Schizosaccharomyces pombe: one gene and its partners. The gene in region 1 interacts genetically with each later gene. Each region holds a gene or a part of one and is shown on either strand. Other genes may lie near its edges.

The links. A genetic interaction does not mean that the proteins touch.
Region 2: mutations in hus1 (region 1) and rad2 together harm fitness more than expected from each alone (negative genetic interaction), as found in Schizosaccharomyces pombe (2 studies listed by BioGRID).
Region 3: mutations in hus1 (region 1) and fml1 together harm fitness more than expected from each alone (negative genetic interaction), as found in Schizosaccharomyces pombe (2 studies listed by BioGRID).

Annotation. Positions count from the first base shown.
Region 1 is NC_003424.3:4,820,439-4,824,705, forward strand, and holds hus1 (checkpoint clamp complex protein Hus1), read right to left. Parts: upstream 2,266-4,267; 5' UTR 2,141-2,265; coding exon 2,098-2,140; exon of another isoform or gene 2,050-2,097; coding exon 1,941-2,049; exon of another isoform or gene 1,876-1,940; coding exon 1,863-1,875; exon of another isoform or gene 1,809-1,862; coding exon 1,214-1,808; exon of another isoform or gene 1,157-1,213; coding exon 1,053-1,156; 3' UTR 549-1,052; downstream 1-548. Other genes in the region: fmp40 (adenylyltransferase), read right to left, coding at 2,505-4,211. UniProt on the Schizosaccharomyces pombe protein: Essential in controlling the S-M checkpoint that couples mitosis to the completion of DNA replication. It is also required for the response to DNA damage.
Region 2 is NC_003424.3:5,389,069-5,392,971, forward strand, and holds rad2 (FEN-1 endonuclease Rad2), read right to left. Parts: upstream 2,355-3,903; 5' UTR 2,194-2,354; coding exon 2,181-2,193; intron 2,112-2,180; coding exon 2,021-2,111; exon of another isoform or gene 1,844-2,020; intron 1,836-1,843; exon of another isoform or gene 1,640-1,835; coding exon 601-1,639; 3' UTR 518-600; downstream 1-517. Other genes in the region: SPOM_SPAC3G6.05 (Mpv17/PMP22 family protein 1), read left to right, coding at 1-23, 88-185, 255-327; SPOM_SPAC3G6.07 (uncharacterized protein), read left to right, coding at 3,205-3,582. UniProt on the Schizosaccharomyces pombe protein: Structure-specific nuclease with 5'-flap endonuclease and 5'-3' exonuclease activities involved in DNA replication and repair.
Region 3 is NC_003424.3:1,469,055-1,476,792, forward strand, and holds fml1 (ATP-dependent 3' to 5' DNA helicase), read left to right. Parts: upstream 1-1,779; 5' UTR 1,780-2,005; coding exon 2,006-3,454; intron 3,455-3,499; coding exon 3,500-4,329; exon of another isoform or gene 4,330-4,385; coding exon 4,386-4,611; 3' UTR 4,612-4,637; coding exon of another isoform or gene 4,638-4,831; 3' UTR 4,832-4,884; coding exon of another isoform or gene 4,885-5,051; 3' UTR 5,052-5,098; coding exon of another isoform or gene 5,099-5,158; 3' UTR 5,159-5,209; coding exon of another isoform or gene 5,210-5,287; 3' UTR 5,288-5,326; coding exon of another isoform or gene 5,327-5,350; 3' UTR 5,351-5,405; coding exon of another isoform or gene 5,406-5,485; 3' UTR 5,486-5,854; coding exon of another isoform or gene 5,855-5,995; 3' UTR 5,996-6,045; coding exon of another isoform or gene 6,046-6,845; 3' UTR 6,846-6,893; coding exon of another isoform or gene 6,894-7,053; 3' UTR 7,054-7,221; downstream 7,222-7,738. Other genes in the region: Tf2-1 (retrotransposable element/transposon Tf2-type), read left to right, coding at 1-794; SPOM_SPAC9.06C (5'-methylthioribulose-1-phosphate dehydratase), read right to left, coding at 4,638-4,831, 4,885-5,051, 5,099-5,158, 5,210-5,287, 5,327-5,350, 5,406-5,485; SPOM_SPAC9.07C (GTPase Rbg1), read right to left, coding at 5,855-5,995, 6,046-6,845, 6,894-7,053. UniProt on the Schizosaccharomyces pombe protein: ATP-dependent DNA helicase involved in DNA damage repair by homologous recombination and in genome maintenance. Capable of unwinding D-loops. Plays a role in limiting crossover recombination during mitotic DNA double-strand break (DSB) repair.

The DNA.
Region 1 (4,267 bases):
AATTTAAAACATGAAAATTATTCCTTTTTTTTTTCTCTAAATGAAACGAAATGTACAATCCTAATTATCAGTCTATATTGAATATATAACAATAATAGTAACAATGCTATCTATGAAAACAAGAAAGAATTTGCAATTAAGGAACGGTAAAACTATTATAGAAAGAAGGTACGTTTAAGTCAATTTATATGTCTGTATATGTGTTGTTTATGTAGCGGATTTCCCCGGATACCTCTCCATATTTAAGTTATTGTGGGATTTTCACTATCGTTACCTCTATTGCGATACCAACTTTTCTAGGTAACAACGTTCAGCCCCTTTCGTACTGAATGTTGGTACAGTTTACATGTGTAGCCGACTGCATCGGAGGAGGAATAACTATCGAACATAGTCAATTCCGATGACAGACAGCCTGAAATTTTCGCACTTTTAAAGAGGAACTCGCCATTTTCATCACTTCTACGTAAAATGTATAGCGATGCCTCCAAAGTACAAGAAAGAATAGGCGGAAATTAATAGAAGCTACAGTCAATGGCATATATCTTCTCAAAAAAACGATTAAAATATTCAATTTTTATTAAGTATATATTTCCCATTGAGCACTTAAATGTTCAATTGAGACTTTATAGATTTCTGAACAGTTGCTTGTCTAAAAGATTAAAGAAAGATGAACCAAGGTTTATTCATATTCAAGTTAATTGCTTGAAAACATACGTTTGTGTTTAATCGTATGTATCTCTCATTGAAAACGTGAAAACATATGGATTTTATCAACAGATTTTCTGTGACTTGAACATTATATTTCTTTTTGGTGTTATCCTTTTAAGAGATATCAACGGAATAGTAAAACACTGAGTTGCCGAGATTACAACAACTGTATAAAATAAATAAAAAAGAACGGTAAGATCGATAAAGGAAGAGAGAGAAAATAAGTATAAGCATGGTAGATGTTGATTAATCTCTTTTCATTTTAATGTACATTAAAAATGTGGCTAGTCACTCATAACAATTATTCGTTAATTAAATCAAATCATAAACAAATTGAAGTAACCTTAGTCCACATAGGTACTAATGTAGTATGTTAAAACAGCCGTATGTTCATCTTCTGGATCTGTTATATAAACATAAAGTACTAGCGCATGTCCTTCACAGAAACCTGTAATGTAAAAAGGTTAGTTCGTGGTCATAAAAAGGATTCTCTCATAGTACATACACGCTATTACACGCTTTGCAACACTGGATATTTTTAACATGTTGACTAAGTCCTTGCTGTCTAGTCTCATGTGAACAAATTCTTCGGGTGCCCTTGTTTGAGAGGGATGTCGACTGATGTCTTCGACTTGACTAGGATCTAACTCTGGATTCTCTAATCCTTTCCATTTTGTGCTTACTCTAGCTGAAGGTATGTTTACCGATAACTGCAATTCGCCTGACATGTTGGCTGACATTATAATACGGTCTGAAAGACTCTTGTATTTGTCCACGACGTGTCTTAGAAAATTCAGTTGTGGAAGGAATATATGACAGTCTGGTTCAGGAGCAGTTGGTTCCTTAATAACTGACACGTATGATTGTGATAGTACTCGAACAGGTATATTATGAGTCACAATATTCGAACCAAACGCCCTTCCACTCCAAGTGGTAGACAACGAAAGTAATGGCTGGTTATTCTTCTTGGATAGACGAACAGTAGAATCACTAGCGTTGGCCGCTGATCGTAAGGCTTTATAGAAATTATCTATAGGAACTTCTAGATTTATCACGTTGTCTGCATTGCTTTGGACGACATAGTCCTCAAATATTGTTTCCTTTCCGTTTACGTTAGTTAGGGCAATCAAATAGAAAAAGATAGTTAATCATACGACTTCTAAAACTCTGTTTCTTTATTAGTTTCACAATGTGATTTTTTTCACCGTTAAATGCTTAATATCTTCACTTACGACCAAACTTGAGTCATCCTAAAATCTGGCACTATCACAAAATTTACAGTTTCAGGCATCAGACGAAGCCAGCAAAATCTTCCAATTTTATCTAGCGCCTGAACAAGACCTAAATTTGATTAGTAAACGAACTTTCTGCTGATCTTTTCCAACTTACGCGTCAACGTGTACAAGTTGCTAATCCTTGTTTTAAATCTCATTTTCAGTCTTTGATTTAACTAATGAGATTGAGATTTTTTGGCATTTTGTTTATTCAAGCGTTTAGCAGGTTAAAGTCGACCAATAATAAATTTTCGGTCGAAAAAACTACGAACGCGTAAAAGCCAGCTAAGAAATAGCAAACTGGGCATTAGCAACTGCATCGCAATCTTTATTAAGCAAATGCAAATTTTAATGGCAAGTGGAATAAAATTAATGAATAAAATTTAAAAAGATTTACAAAAGTCTTAGAGTCTAAAAAAAATTATACTCAAGAGCCTATTCGTTGTATCATTTATTTCATACGATTAGCTATTCCTAAATTTTAAATTACATTAAAAAAATAAATGGCAAGTAAGAAGGGTTCTAGCTAGAGCAGGAACATTGAATTTGGCTTTTGGAGGGAGTAGTGTTATAGCATAAATAATCCTCTTCTTCCTTGGAAAACCCCCAAGTATCTTCGAACGGACAGGCAGCCATTTTACACACTTTTTTAAAAAGCTCAAATTTCCCGATGTATGCTTCTTTAATCACCTCTTCAAGAACCCAATTTCTAAGAGTAAAATGTGGGTTGACTTTTTTCATGCTCGCTAATCGGGATGAATCTTCCTGAGTTTTCGTTGCTTCACTATATCGACCAACCCAATTAGTGAAAGCTTTGACAGATTCATTTCTAACTCTTTCATTATTCGGGTTTAGACAAATACATGCTTGCATCAATTTTGCAGCATATTCTTCATTCTCCATTGAAGAGGGAGAGTTTCTAGAAAGAAAGGAAAAACAATTTGGCATATCCAATTCATAATCCTCCAAAATTTGTAACAAATCAGTTATCAGAATTTTGTTAGATGAGTCAGAGGGAAGACCCACTCGTTTGAACATAAGATCATAGAAATCATTCTGGACAATATTTTTATACTCTTCTACTATCTTTTCAAAAACTTCAGAAGTATAAGCAAACGCCTTTTTTAACAAATCAGTAGAGTTATGAAGTTGTTCCATATATTGCAAGTCATCAACTTTGTCGCAAGCTCCAATTAACTCAACCAAAGCAGATGCTAATTTTGATAAATTCCAAATAATAATATCAGGTTGGTTGCGATATGAATATCGCAAAAATACATCGTCATGATTAGGTGTAAAAGATGGGTTGTAAACATCTAAAAATCCAAAAGGTCCATAATCAATTGATAGTCCCAGTATACTGGTATTATCAGTATTCAAAACACCATTCATAAATCCATATGCTTGCCATTTGGCTACAGTTTTAGCATTTCGATATGCAACATCTCGAAGAAGTTTTTCGTAGCGATTTCCAGTATCTCCACCATGAAATCCATCTTTTAAAACGAAATTTAGACAATAGTCGGCTAATTTCCGTAAAGACTCAATTTGATTATTAATCCCCTGGAGATCGAAAGTCCCAATTCTGATCCAAGAAGGGGCCATACGGCAAACAACGGCGCAAGGCTCTACAGTCTCACGTTGTGCTACAACACCTTCAAGATTGGAAATTGCCAGAGCCTGTGTTGTTGGAATGCCTAGAGCATATAAAGCTTCACAACATAAATATTCTCGAATGCTAGATCTTAAAACAGCCTTTCCATCTGCAAATCGAGAGTATGGTGTTCTTCCTGCGCCTTTGACTTGAATCTCAAAGCGTTTTCCAGTTTCCGGGTTGGTAAGTTCGCATAAGGATACTACGCGGCCATCACCCAACTGACCTGCCCAATCCCCAAATTGGTATCCTCCATAACATTGCGCCCAAGGACAACACTTATTGACATCAACGTTAGAACCGACAACAAGCTGTTGAAAAGCTTCAGTTTGAGTTTCAGATTCTTCGAGTCCTAATGACTTCACGGACGAAGGGCTATAAGCTAATAATTGAGAATTGGCTTTTAGTGATGGAGTCAAATAAGTAAATAAGCCGCCGCCTTCCACAAATCGAGGAACATGTAAGATTCTGTCATCAGCCTTTTTCATTGCCTGTACGGTCGGTACCAGTGGATCAGGCGGAAGATTTGATGTGAACGTTGAGCTGACAGGGAGATCCTTCAATTTTTTTGACATCGTATTGGTATATCGAATTAATGTTCTTTGCATACCAATGTTTGATTGTGCCCCAG
Region 2 (3,903 bases), 570 kb from region 1:
CTGTTTTCTGGCCCACTTTAAAGGTACACTTAATTTCTAAATTTTCTTTCTTAAATGGTTCTGTTGTATTGTTGCTAACATTTAAAGGCTAATTATATGGTCTGGCCCTTCTTTCAAACTGTGAACTTTTGGCTAATGCCCTTACAATACCAAATGCCATTTGCTTGTACGGTTGCTATTTTTTGGTATGTTGTTTCCAAGAGACATAAAGCATTTTTGCTCCTAGTTTTTTCGCCTTTGCTAATTTCAATTAGGAACATATTTCTTAGTTTGAAGAACGCTTCTTCAATGCAAGAATCTGGCTCACAAGAAATTGAACTATTTTAAAGATCTTTGATCCATCGTCCGAATCCACTGCTTTTCGTTTTTTGAGTTGTATCAGCCAGATTGTTTTTTGGCATATTATTACTTAGAAACGAGTTTTGTATACCATTATTAGCTTATATGATCAGAATTACCTCCTTAGACTAATTATTTTTACGTAAAAGTCATGCATTAAACAGATTTACTATTATTATAGCGTAGTATAGTTTTATCTACATGCGTCTTGCTTTTTTTAAGTTTTTTTTTTAGATTAATAACAATTACATGACTTCGTTTTCAACGCTTTTTCTTGCTTTCACCACCCTTATTTGAATCTCTTTTCCTTTTTGCTGATCCTTTGCTCTTTGTATCTACAGGTTTTTTGGGAGAAGAAGGGACTGGTTTAAAAAAGGAATCAAGACGACCCTGTGGAATTGTCTTTGAGGCTTTTTCTAGTCTATTGATCCCCAATTTAACACGATCTTCATTGAAACCTTTTTCCTTAACCAGAAATTGTATAATGCCATCTGCATCGGGACTTTTCCATTTCAACTCAATCTCTTCACCAGGAAGTACTTCTGCATCCAAAAACAGTCTTCTGGCATCTTCATAAGGCCAATCTTCCGGAATAGGATATTTTGATCGATCCGCCTCTTTGACAAAGCGATCGAGAGTCCCGTATTGCCTAATTAACTCGACGGCTCTAGCGGGGCCAACTCCCCGAATAGGTTCACAATAGTCACAACCCAAAAGAATACACAAGTCTACAAACTGCTCCACCGACATATCTAAACCATTCAATGCTTTTTCTATGTTATACTCACTAATTGGTTCCTTTCTTTGCTCACTAAATGTCAGGTGTCTCAAAAGTACAGGAGCTTGGAAGCACAATGTGTCCATGTCCTCAGAAGCAGCAGCATAAACTTTTCCTGAACGGGCTAAAGCGGCACATTGAGCTTCTGCTTCACAGGGTGCGTTAACGAAGGGAATTCCCATTAACTCTAGTAAACGTTTTGCTTCGTCATTATGTTGCCGAGTAACTTTGACCGTACGTTTGGCAAACCGATCCACCATTTCAGCTGTACCAACCTCTTTTGTCTCCTCTTGATCCTCTCGTGCTTTTTGATGTCGGGCCACACGTTTAGCTAATTCCCCTGACTTCAATGTTGGTGGTTTTCCATCAAAGACAAAGCAAGGCTTTATTCCATTATCGACAATTCGGAGTGTACGATAAAACATTCCCATTAAATGACTAGTAGTCTCGCCTTGTTCATTCATTAGCTGTTGACCATCTTGACTGCGAACTTGAATTAAAAATTGATAAAGACTCATTGACCTGTAATATACGAAATTAGCATTAATAAAGTACCTCAAGAAGACTTTATAAATCAACCCTTCGAAAAGGAAAGAATCAGTTGAATAGAGTTTGACCTATTAGTGTTTGCAACTTCAAGAACCAACAAAGTAAAGAAATGATGTAAAATACCTTGAGCAATGAATTTAACCGAGTCACTGTTAGTGAAAATTTATTCATCCTTTATTCTATATTTCGTTTGTATCATATCTTTGTCTCGAGTTAAGACATAGAGCTTTGCTCTTTAGCAATAAAAACTGTACACCATAGTGTTTAACCCATATTTACAAACAAAATCAGAAGCCATACAGTCTTTGCCAAGTCAACTGAGACTTTCGCTTTCTATTTAGTCTTTCAACTTACGCATCTATAGCCACTTTCCGTCCAAAATAATTTTTAATATCATTATGTTTGACACTGGCTGGGGCATGCTCGCTTAGTACTTGAGCCAAACCTAACCCAGATTAGTTTTAAGTAAAGGAGAGAGTAAAAGATAAACTCTTTAGCGTTAAATGTAACATACCTTTAATTCCCATCGTTTAGCAAATATACTTATTTATGTATATTACGAGATCCCGAACAACGCTTTCTCCAAAACTAGCTTAGAGCTTCTTATTAAATTTTCAATTTTTGCTAGATGTATTATACTCCTCAAAATCGAGCAGTTTTTACTTTGCTCACTCACACAAAGGTTCTTAGCTACCAGCAGTAGTATCCACGTCAAAGAGTCGATTCAGTAAATCACATGTTACTTTTCCATAAAGAATGATCGACCAAAGAATGTAAATACAAGGAAAGGGACCAGCCAATTTATACTGAAAATTCCCATGTATTATAGCTTTTAAAAAAGGATTTCTAGAAGGAACAAATTAGAAATTTTAAGATTACCAAATTGAGGTTCTTGTGGTTTTGGTGGCAGCACGGCTGTAAAATGTAAATCACCTCGCAGTTTACTACCACGAAAAGATCTCGAAAAGGTAATGTACCATCAGAAATTCTGGAAAAATGATCGATTCCTTTTTCCGGATAAGGAATAGGATGAAAAGTACATTGGAACTTTACCGAAACCCTATTGACTTGGCTAGATGTAAGTCTGTGTAACATAAGGTTGTTTTTATGAGAATAAACCAGTGGTTTTACGGTACTGAGATACCGTAGTGAGAAAGCCGCTTGAATTGCTCAACGTAATATTTTTAATAGAACAATAGCCTTGATTCATGGAACAATGTTGGATAATAGGCATTTTACCAAGAGAGTATTATTTGAAACTCGCCATATCTGCTACTGAATCGTCGAAAATATAATCGTAACCAGTTTATGGTATCGCTTGTGTAGTATGCAGACAACGAACAATATTGCAATATTCTACTAATAAGGTTCCTTTACCGACGTATTTCGTGCGGATCAAAACGTCATTCTGATCTTACGTTGGCAAATTCTAGTTAATGTCGGCTCGTTGAAAGAATATTATATGAGATGCTGCGCGCCTTGCTTACAGTATACTCATATCCCAGTGCAACCTCAATTTACCTGTGAAAGCAAGAACAATGTCTGAACAAAGCTCGCCATACTTAACATTGGCACCTGCCGATTACGAAGGAGAAGATGTCTCTAATGAAAAGGAAAAAAACAGTGTTATTCCTGATGTTATAGACTATTATAACAAAGGTAGACAATATTACCAATCGTTTGTGGTTTATAAAGCAACTGCTAATACCATTTTCCAATTTTCATATTTGTTGTATATATACATCGACCTCACTAAAGCTGATCAAACCGAAGTGTTACAATTTCTTAAAACATATGTTGAGGATGAATCGTTTGTTGGAGATGATTTTGTTATGCCAAAGTATACACTGGTTTTACCATATCGAGTGTATCGTGATCATGTAAAAAAACATGGAGATATTATAACGCCAAAGTGAAGTGCTAAATCTATTTTAATGTTTTCTTTTGTTTTTAAAGAACTTTCTGCTTGCATGAATCGCTCATTTTATAAGCAAATACCAGTTATATTGCTTCGCTTATTGTTATGATTTTTATGGATTCAAATCTAAAGAGAATTGCTAAATAGTGATTCATTAGTTAAGTTATTTATTTTTTAAAAAAAATAATAAATTCAACAAAATAAATGTAATCCTTTTTTTTTGGATCTTTTTTTCTGCTTCTTTGCTTTGCAAGTATTGAATTTTTTAAGTTTTTTGAATTTTGTAGCTTAGTAAATCGATCTGTAACCTTTTGAAAAA
Region 3 (7,738 bases), 3.4 Mb from region 1:
TTATGAAATTTTCGTTACCATACAGACCACAAACTGATGGACAAACTGAGCGTACAAACCAAACTGTGGAGAAATTACTAAGATGTGTATGTAGCACACATCCAAATACATGGGTAGATCATATATCCCTAGTGCAACAATCTTACAACAATGCGATACATTCAGCAACTCAAATGACACCTTTTGAGATAGTACATCGCTATTCACCAGCTTTATCACCTTTAGAGTTACCTAGCTTTAGTGACAAAACTGACGAAAACTCTCAGGAAACGATCCAAGTATTTCAAACAGTTAAAGAACACTTGAATACAAACAACATAAAGATGAAAAAGTATTTCGATATGAAAATACAAGAAATTGAAGAATTTCAACCTGGAGACCTAGTTATGGTCAAAAGAACGAAAACAGGTTTTCTTCATAAATCCAATAAATTAGCACCTAGTTTTGCAGGACCGTTCTATGTGTTACAGAAGTCGGGTCCAAACAACTATGAATTGGATCTTCCAGATTCAATCAAGCACATGTTTTCATCTACTTTTCATGTTTCTCACCTAGAAAAGTATCGACATAATTCAGAACTCAATTACGCTACCATTGATGAGTCTGATATTGGAACAATTCTTCATATCCTAGAACATAAAAACAGAGAACAAGTACTCTACTTAAATGTCAAGTACATTTCGAATCTAAATCCGAGTACTATTATGTCAGGATGGACTACATTAGCTACAGCGCTACAAGCGGACAAAGCAATTGTCAATGATTATATTAAAAACAATAATCTAAATATCTGAGAACATATGACTTATCCTCAGATTTACATAGAAAATCTTGGGGAGGGCAATGTCAGCAATACTACACTACGCTATAATACACTACGTTGAGTATCACTATATGTCACATGTTCTAATTATATATCGTACCATGTATGATACGATATGGAGATTGATCTTAATGATAATCTATTAAGATCAATATTATCTGAATACTATAAATAGAGCTACTGCTGAACCTCGTTCCTCAGTTCAGTTATGAGCTATATTAGTGATAGGTAACATTATAACCCAGTTAATACAATACCTATACTCAGTTGCTACTTATACAACCTGTGTATTGTAATATAATAGATCACAAGGAAAACTCACCGCAGTTCTACGTATCCTTAAATCAGATACCAAACTGCGTAGCTTACAATTTCATAGAAGTATGACCTTTGAACAAAATCACTATTTCACTTAATGCAGTGCTTAAATTCTTTAATTTATACTTAGTGAATCAGTAAATTTAAAATACGTTAAATGGCTTTATGGAATTTCCAAAGGAACTCTTCGAAGAGGAAATTTCAAATTATGTGATAGATTAAAGATTATGGCTATTATTCGATAAATGAGTGTTTTTTTACTCACTTGATGTGTGATATGTTACCACAAACAAAGTCCAATTTTGAAGGTACAAACATCAGAAAGTCCTGAATTCTAGCAACATTAGTCTATGTACGGACACTTTTCAACTCGTTTTACTTCATCTAGCTAATCATTTTCTTTAATCTAAGAGCCATTACATGTCTTTCTGATAGGATTTGTTCGGCTATGCTTGTTATTTGTTTATCGTATAGAGAGCGACTTATAGTGAATATATACAAAAACCATTATGATGATATACGAATTCTATATCGGTTATTAGGTGCTTCCCTAATACAATACTACACCCGCGCAATAATTCGTTATAACAAATCGTTACTGAAAAGACATGGAATATACACATTGGCAATGTAATTTTAAACATAATTAACTTCATTACTTTCTCATGAAGTTAATTGTATCTTAAACCATTTGAGGGAAAAAACTTGTCCTTTACAATTACTTCCGACAATAAAGGACGCTTTGCAGTGAATGTCTTATGGAATTGTTGTATTTGACGACTGACGAAACGAAGTACCTTAGCAAAATTCGTTTTTAAGTAATTCCAGCTAAATTTTTGCTAACAATATAAATCATTGATAAGGATGTCCGATGATTCTTTTAGTAGTGATGAAGACTGGGACGAATTGGACACCCAAGTAGTTGATAAAATTGAGAATGAATATCATAATAACACGATAGGTTTAAATGGATACTCAGTTGATGAATATTTTGATGCCAACGATTCCAATAGATATCGTCTACAACACGAGTTAGATGAAAGTGCAGCACAGCAATGGGTATACCCTATAAACGTCTCCTTTCGAGATTATCAGTTTAATATTGTCCAAAAAGCTTTATTTGAAAATGTACTTGTAGCTTTGCCAACAGGTTTAGGTAAAACATTTATTGCAGCCGTTGTGATGATGAATTATCTTCGTTGGTTTCCAAAAAGTTACATTGTTTTCATGGCTCCTACTAAACCATTGGTTACACAACAAATGGAAGCTTGCTATAAAATCACTGGAATTCCAAAGAGTCAAACTGCTGAATTAAGTGGACACGTTCCTGTTACAACTCGAAATCAGTATTATCAAAGTCGAAATGTTTTCTTCGTAACTCCTCAAACCATTTTAAACGACATCAAGCATGGAATTTGCGATCGGACTCGTATATCTTGTTTAGTAATTGATGAAGCACATCGTAGTACTGGAAATTACGCTTATGTGGAAGTTGTTCATCTACTTTCTCTTAGCAACAAAAATTTCCGTATACTGGCTCTTAGTGCTACCCCCGGAAATAAGTTAGAAGCAATTCAGAATGTAATTGATTCTCTTCATATATCCAGGATTGAGATTAGAACTGAAAACAGCATTGATATATCGCAATACGTTCAGAAGAAAGAGGTGGATTTTTTTCCTGTAGATTTGTCTGCAGAGATTACAGATATAAGAGATCGATTTTCTTCTATATTGGAACCTATGCTTCAAAAATTGAACAAGGGTAATTATTATCGAATTCAGAATGCTAAAGACATAACTTCTTTCACTGTGGTTCAAGCTAAACAAGCTTTTCTTGCAATGTCTGGTCAAAACTTTCCTGCTAATCAAAAATGGGATATTTTAAATACTTTTGATGCATTAGCGACTTTTGCCTATCCTTTAAATTTGTTACTCAACCATGGTATCCGACCGTTTTATCAAAAATTGCGAGAGGTAGAAGAAGAATGCTTTGTAGGAAGATCAGGTTATAAGAAACGCATAATAAATCACGAAAATTATCGTCCTTTAATGGACGATATAGAAATTTTGTTGCGAGATCAGTCTTTTGTCGGACATCCCAAACTAGAGCATTTGGAACGTATTGTTACAGAATATTTTGAAAAAGAACAAACCAAGGATACCAGAATTATGATTTTTGTTGAAATCCGCTCTAGCGCCGAAGAGATTTTACGATTTTTGGGTAAATTTTATCCAAATGTGAGACCAGCTATTTTTATTGGACAATCTGCTGTGAGAAAGGCTGCTGGAATGTCTCAAAAATTACAGAATGAAGTATGTAATCTGAAAATGATGGATCCTTAACTAACTAATCTCTAGACTGTGAAACAATTTCAAAAAGGTGAAGTCAATACTTTAATAGCTACCTCTATTGGAGAAGAGGGTTTGGACATAGGTGAAGTAGACATGATCATATGTTACGATGCATCTGCTTCTCCTATAAGGATGTTACAAAGAATGGGCAGAACTGGGAGAAAAAGGAAAGGTTATATTTATATGCTTTTGACGCGAGGCAAAGAAGAAGCAAAATGGGAGAGAGCCAAAGACGCTTATCGAACTTTGCAAGATAATATTGTCAGTGGTCGCGGTCTCAGCCTATCGGAAAAAAGTTATAGAATTTTACCAGAAAAGTTTCGCCCGGTTTGTGATAAACGAGTCATAGAAATTCCCAAAGAAAATGAAGAAGTTGTAGTAGCTCCAAAGAAAGTGCAATTGAGAACGAAAATAAAAAAGAAATTTTTCATGCCAGAAAATGCCTTGAATGGATTTATTACTGCGTCCGCTTTAGGTAAACCGAAACGTGCTTTAGCCAAGTCTGAAGAATCACCGTTCGAGATATGTCCCGTTACATATAGCATTGAACAAGAAAAGAAACTGGAAAAATATAAGCGTGTTTGCTTAAGAGGTTTGGATATTCATAGAAATAGGAGGTTATCTCAATTGAGTGTTACAGGACGGATACCGCATTCTCTAGCTACGAAAAGTATACATTCATTTTTAAAGCATTTAAATACTATAGATTCGCAAAAGGCTCAGGAGTGGAGAAGAGAAATAAACAACCAATTCCAAGTATCAAATATCAACTCGACGGATCGTGACACAAAACAGCCAAAGATGCATGACTTTAGACAACCTTTACACCCAAATCCGTAAGTGTTTAAACTATTGAGTTGTTTAACGATAATTACAGATTATTAACATACAGGATGACAACTTTGAAAAGGAAAGGACAACATAATTCATTTTCTTACGACAAGTCTACACTGTTTTATGACAACAACAATAATTTAGAGGAAGACCTCCCGGATGTAAATATTTCTATATCTTCAAGGAATGAAGAAGCATCCAAGACAAAACCATTTGACGACCGACAACAACGCCTTCAGCAACTCGTAGAGAAAAGGAAACGTATGAAAGGAATGCTGATTTAGAGAATTAAATAGTGTTTAGAAATAGCCTACAACGTTTTCAATTTGTAGTCTAACTCAAAAAGATATTCGTAGCATTCCATTTGAGTTTTTGATTTTTCCCATGTTGCTCCCCAACCGATAACCCCATGTCCACGAATAAGAACAGCACATGTTTGTGGATAAAGCTCGATGACTTTTTTTAGTTCATCTAATATTGTTTTACTATCGCCATTGTGGATAACTACATAATCAGTATTCAGATACCAGTCAACACCAACAGAAAACACAACTTACTAGGAACCTCTAGAGTATCAAAACAGCAAAGATAGCCTGCTGAAGGATTTCCCTTTGGAATTCCTTTGATCATTTCCTTAGATTGTGTAGTAAATTTCTCATTATACATCGATGCTCCGACTGCAGCGACTGAAGTAGAATATATACAGGCTACTGCATCCATATTACTTTTGATGTGTTAAAAATTGCTGTAAATAGAAAAAATGATGCATACCTCAAAACCCATGAGAAAATGTAGGCCCAATTGACTAAATCCTTGGTGACTGACTGATTGCTGTATAAAAGGTTAGATACTAATTGGAGCTGATCCAAATGAATAATTTACCTTAAATTAAAGGTCACGATATCGTTTTCCGTTATGAAGTCTCTTTGAACCCTGTCCTTAACGCAAATTGCATAACCACTAAATGTTAACAAAATCGTTTGAATACCGTACAATTACTTGTTCTTTAGACAAAAGTTTCCACTAAATACCAATTAGCTTTAAAAAATTACTGAACATTAAACGTCTTGAACGCTACCTGCCAAATTTCATCCATCCAAGACTGTAAAAATGAGGAATAAGTTCAAGAATCAAATTTTTCTCTAATTGGAGACTCATTCTTCTAAAATTTTCAACTTTAACCTTTAAAAGTTCCCGTACTATACTCAGAAATGATTTATTTAATGATCGGTTCTTTCAGCAAAGTGAGTAGCGTTTCATAAGTTGCGTTTGCAAATTTGATATTAAAAAGTAATTGAAGGAAGACATATGTCACAAAACACTCTACACAATCATTCATTAAGCTTATAATACACGAAAACTTTTACTTTAAAGAAAAAACAATTTGAACAAATAACGAAATAAATTACCATCTAAAATTTTAAGTCATTGTAACCCACCTATTAGAGTAACCAGTTAAATAAGTTTTCAGGCCTATATATTCCAATACTGGGAAACCAAGGAAAGTAAGATGTTAGGAAAAAAGACTTATTTTTTGACAATCGTCACTACATCCTCATCCAACAGTACATGAGATAAACCAACACGCATGCCAGGATAAGGAACGCTTTTTCCCCAAACATAAGCATGTTTAAACTGGGATTTGATACTTGAATGAATATTGTTACACTAAAGAAGTTAGCAACACGAAGATCGGCAGAAGCAATTCGAAAACTTACAAAATCCTCGACAGTAGAATGGCCAGTACGAAGGATAACAGGTTCGCTGTAATCAGGTTCAAGACCTCTAGGGCGTGTATAGACTCTAACCAAATTCAAATAGTCCCACATCGTTTCTTTAAGTTCGTCAATGTTCCAACCCCTGTTACCACAAATGGGTACGGCGTTAGGAATACGATCAATCAAATCAAGTTCTTCAATAGAAATTGAATCAATTTTATTTAACACGTAAAGTGCCGGGATATAAACGCGATTTCCTTCCAAGACATCAATCAAATCATCAATGGTGGCATCACAACGAAAAGCAATGTCAGCAGAGTTAACACGATATTCGCTGCAAACAGCACGAATTTCGTCCAAATCAATATGAGTCAAGGGGACAGTATTGGTGATATTGATACCACCACGTTCTTTCTTTTTGAATACAATGTTGGGGGGTTCCTTATTTAATCTTATACCAAATCCTTCCAATTCCTCTTCAATAATACGCTTATGAGACATTGGTTTCAATACATCCAAAACAATAAATATAAGGTTGCAAGTACGTGCAACAGTAATAACTTGTTTACCACGACCACGACCATCTTTGGCACCCTCGATAATACCAGGCAAATCCAAAATTTGAATTTTTGCACCATTGTATTGCAAAACACCCGGAACCGTTGTTAAAGTTGTAAATTCATATGCAGCGGCTTCACTTCTCGTTCCTGTAAGCTGAGTCATGAGTGTACTTTTACCGACGGAGGGAAATCCAATGAAACCTACAGTACCAATACCGGTACGAGCAACATCGAAACCAACTAAGAAAGATTAGTACTCCAAACAAAAATTTGACGTTCAGTACATACGCCCTCCACCACCTCCTCCACCGGTAGGGGTGATCAATTCACGTTTCAATTTTGCAAGCTTGGCCTTTAACATTCCCAAGTGCTTAGCCGTAGCTTTATTTTTTTGGGTTTTGGCCATTTCATCTTCAACTTCTTTTATTTTTTGCGCCGTAGTCGCCATTTTGTTTTTTTATTATATATGAAAATGCTATGAAAATGGTGAAAAGAAAATTCTATAACTAAGTACGTATAAGATCTTTTGCATTATTGAGTGCTAAGCAACCCTCTTTATTTTATATTAGTGTATTAAACCACATTACAACAGCCAAACTATTATTAAGATACCAGGTAGAATATCACGTTGGATCTCGATATTTGTTCCTTGTTGTAAGTAAATAAAAAAATATGTGAAATATTGAATCCAGTTATTCAATAGAATTTCATAAATAAATCTTTTTTCTTTTGCGTGTCTTTTTTTATGCGTTAGATCAATATAAAATATGTATGTATATAAAAAGTTGATAATTTTGTTTTGTTTTTCTTACACAATTTTAATGCAAATATTAAATAAATAAGATTGCAAAAAAGTAGTTGCTGATTGCGCAAAAGCTTGGATTAACAGTATTTTTTGATAAATAAAAAAAGAAATAAATAAATTTAGTATGTTCTAAGTCAACGGCAAATGAATTATTATTCAGGGGTTGAAGATAATGTCAGTTAACAAGGTTAATTATCGGGTCAGGGTAATAATTAAAAATTAAATAAATAAAAAATATCTGCGGCTGTTGCGTATAAACAGTAGACGGATGAGCAATTATCCCCAATAGCCTAAATACAAAATATAAGAACACATAGTAGAAACTACA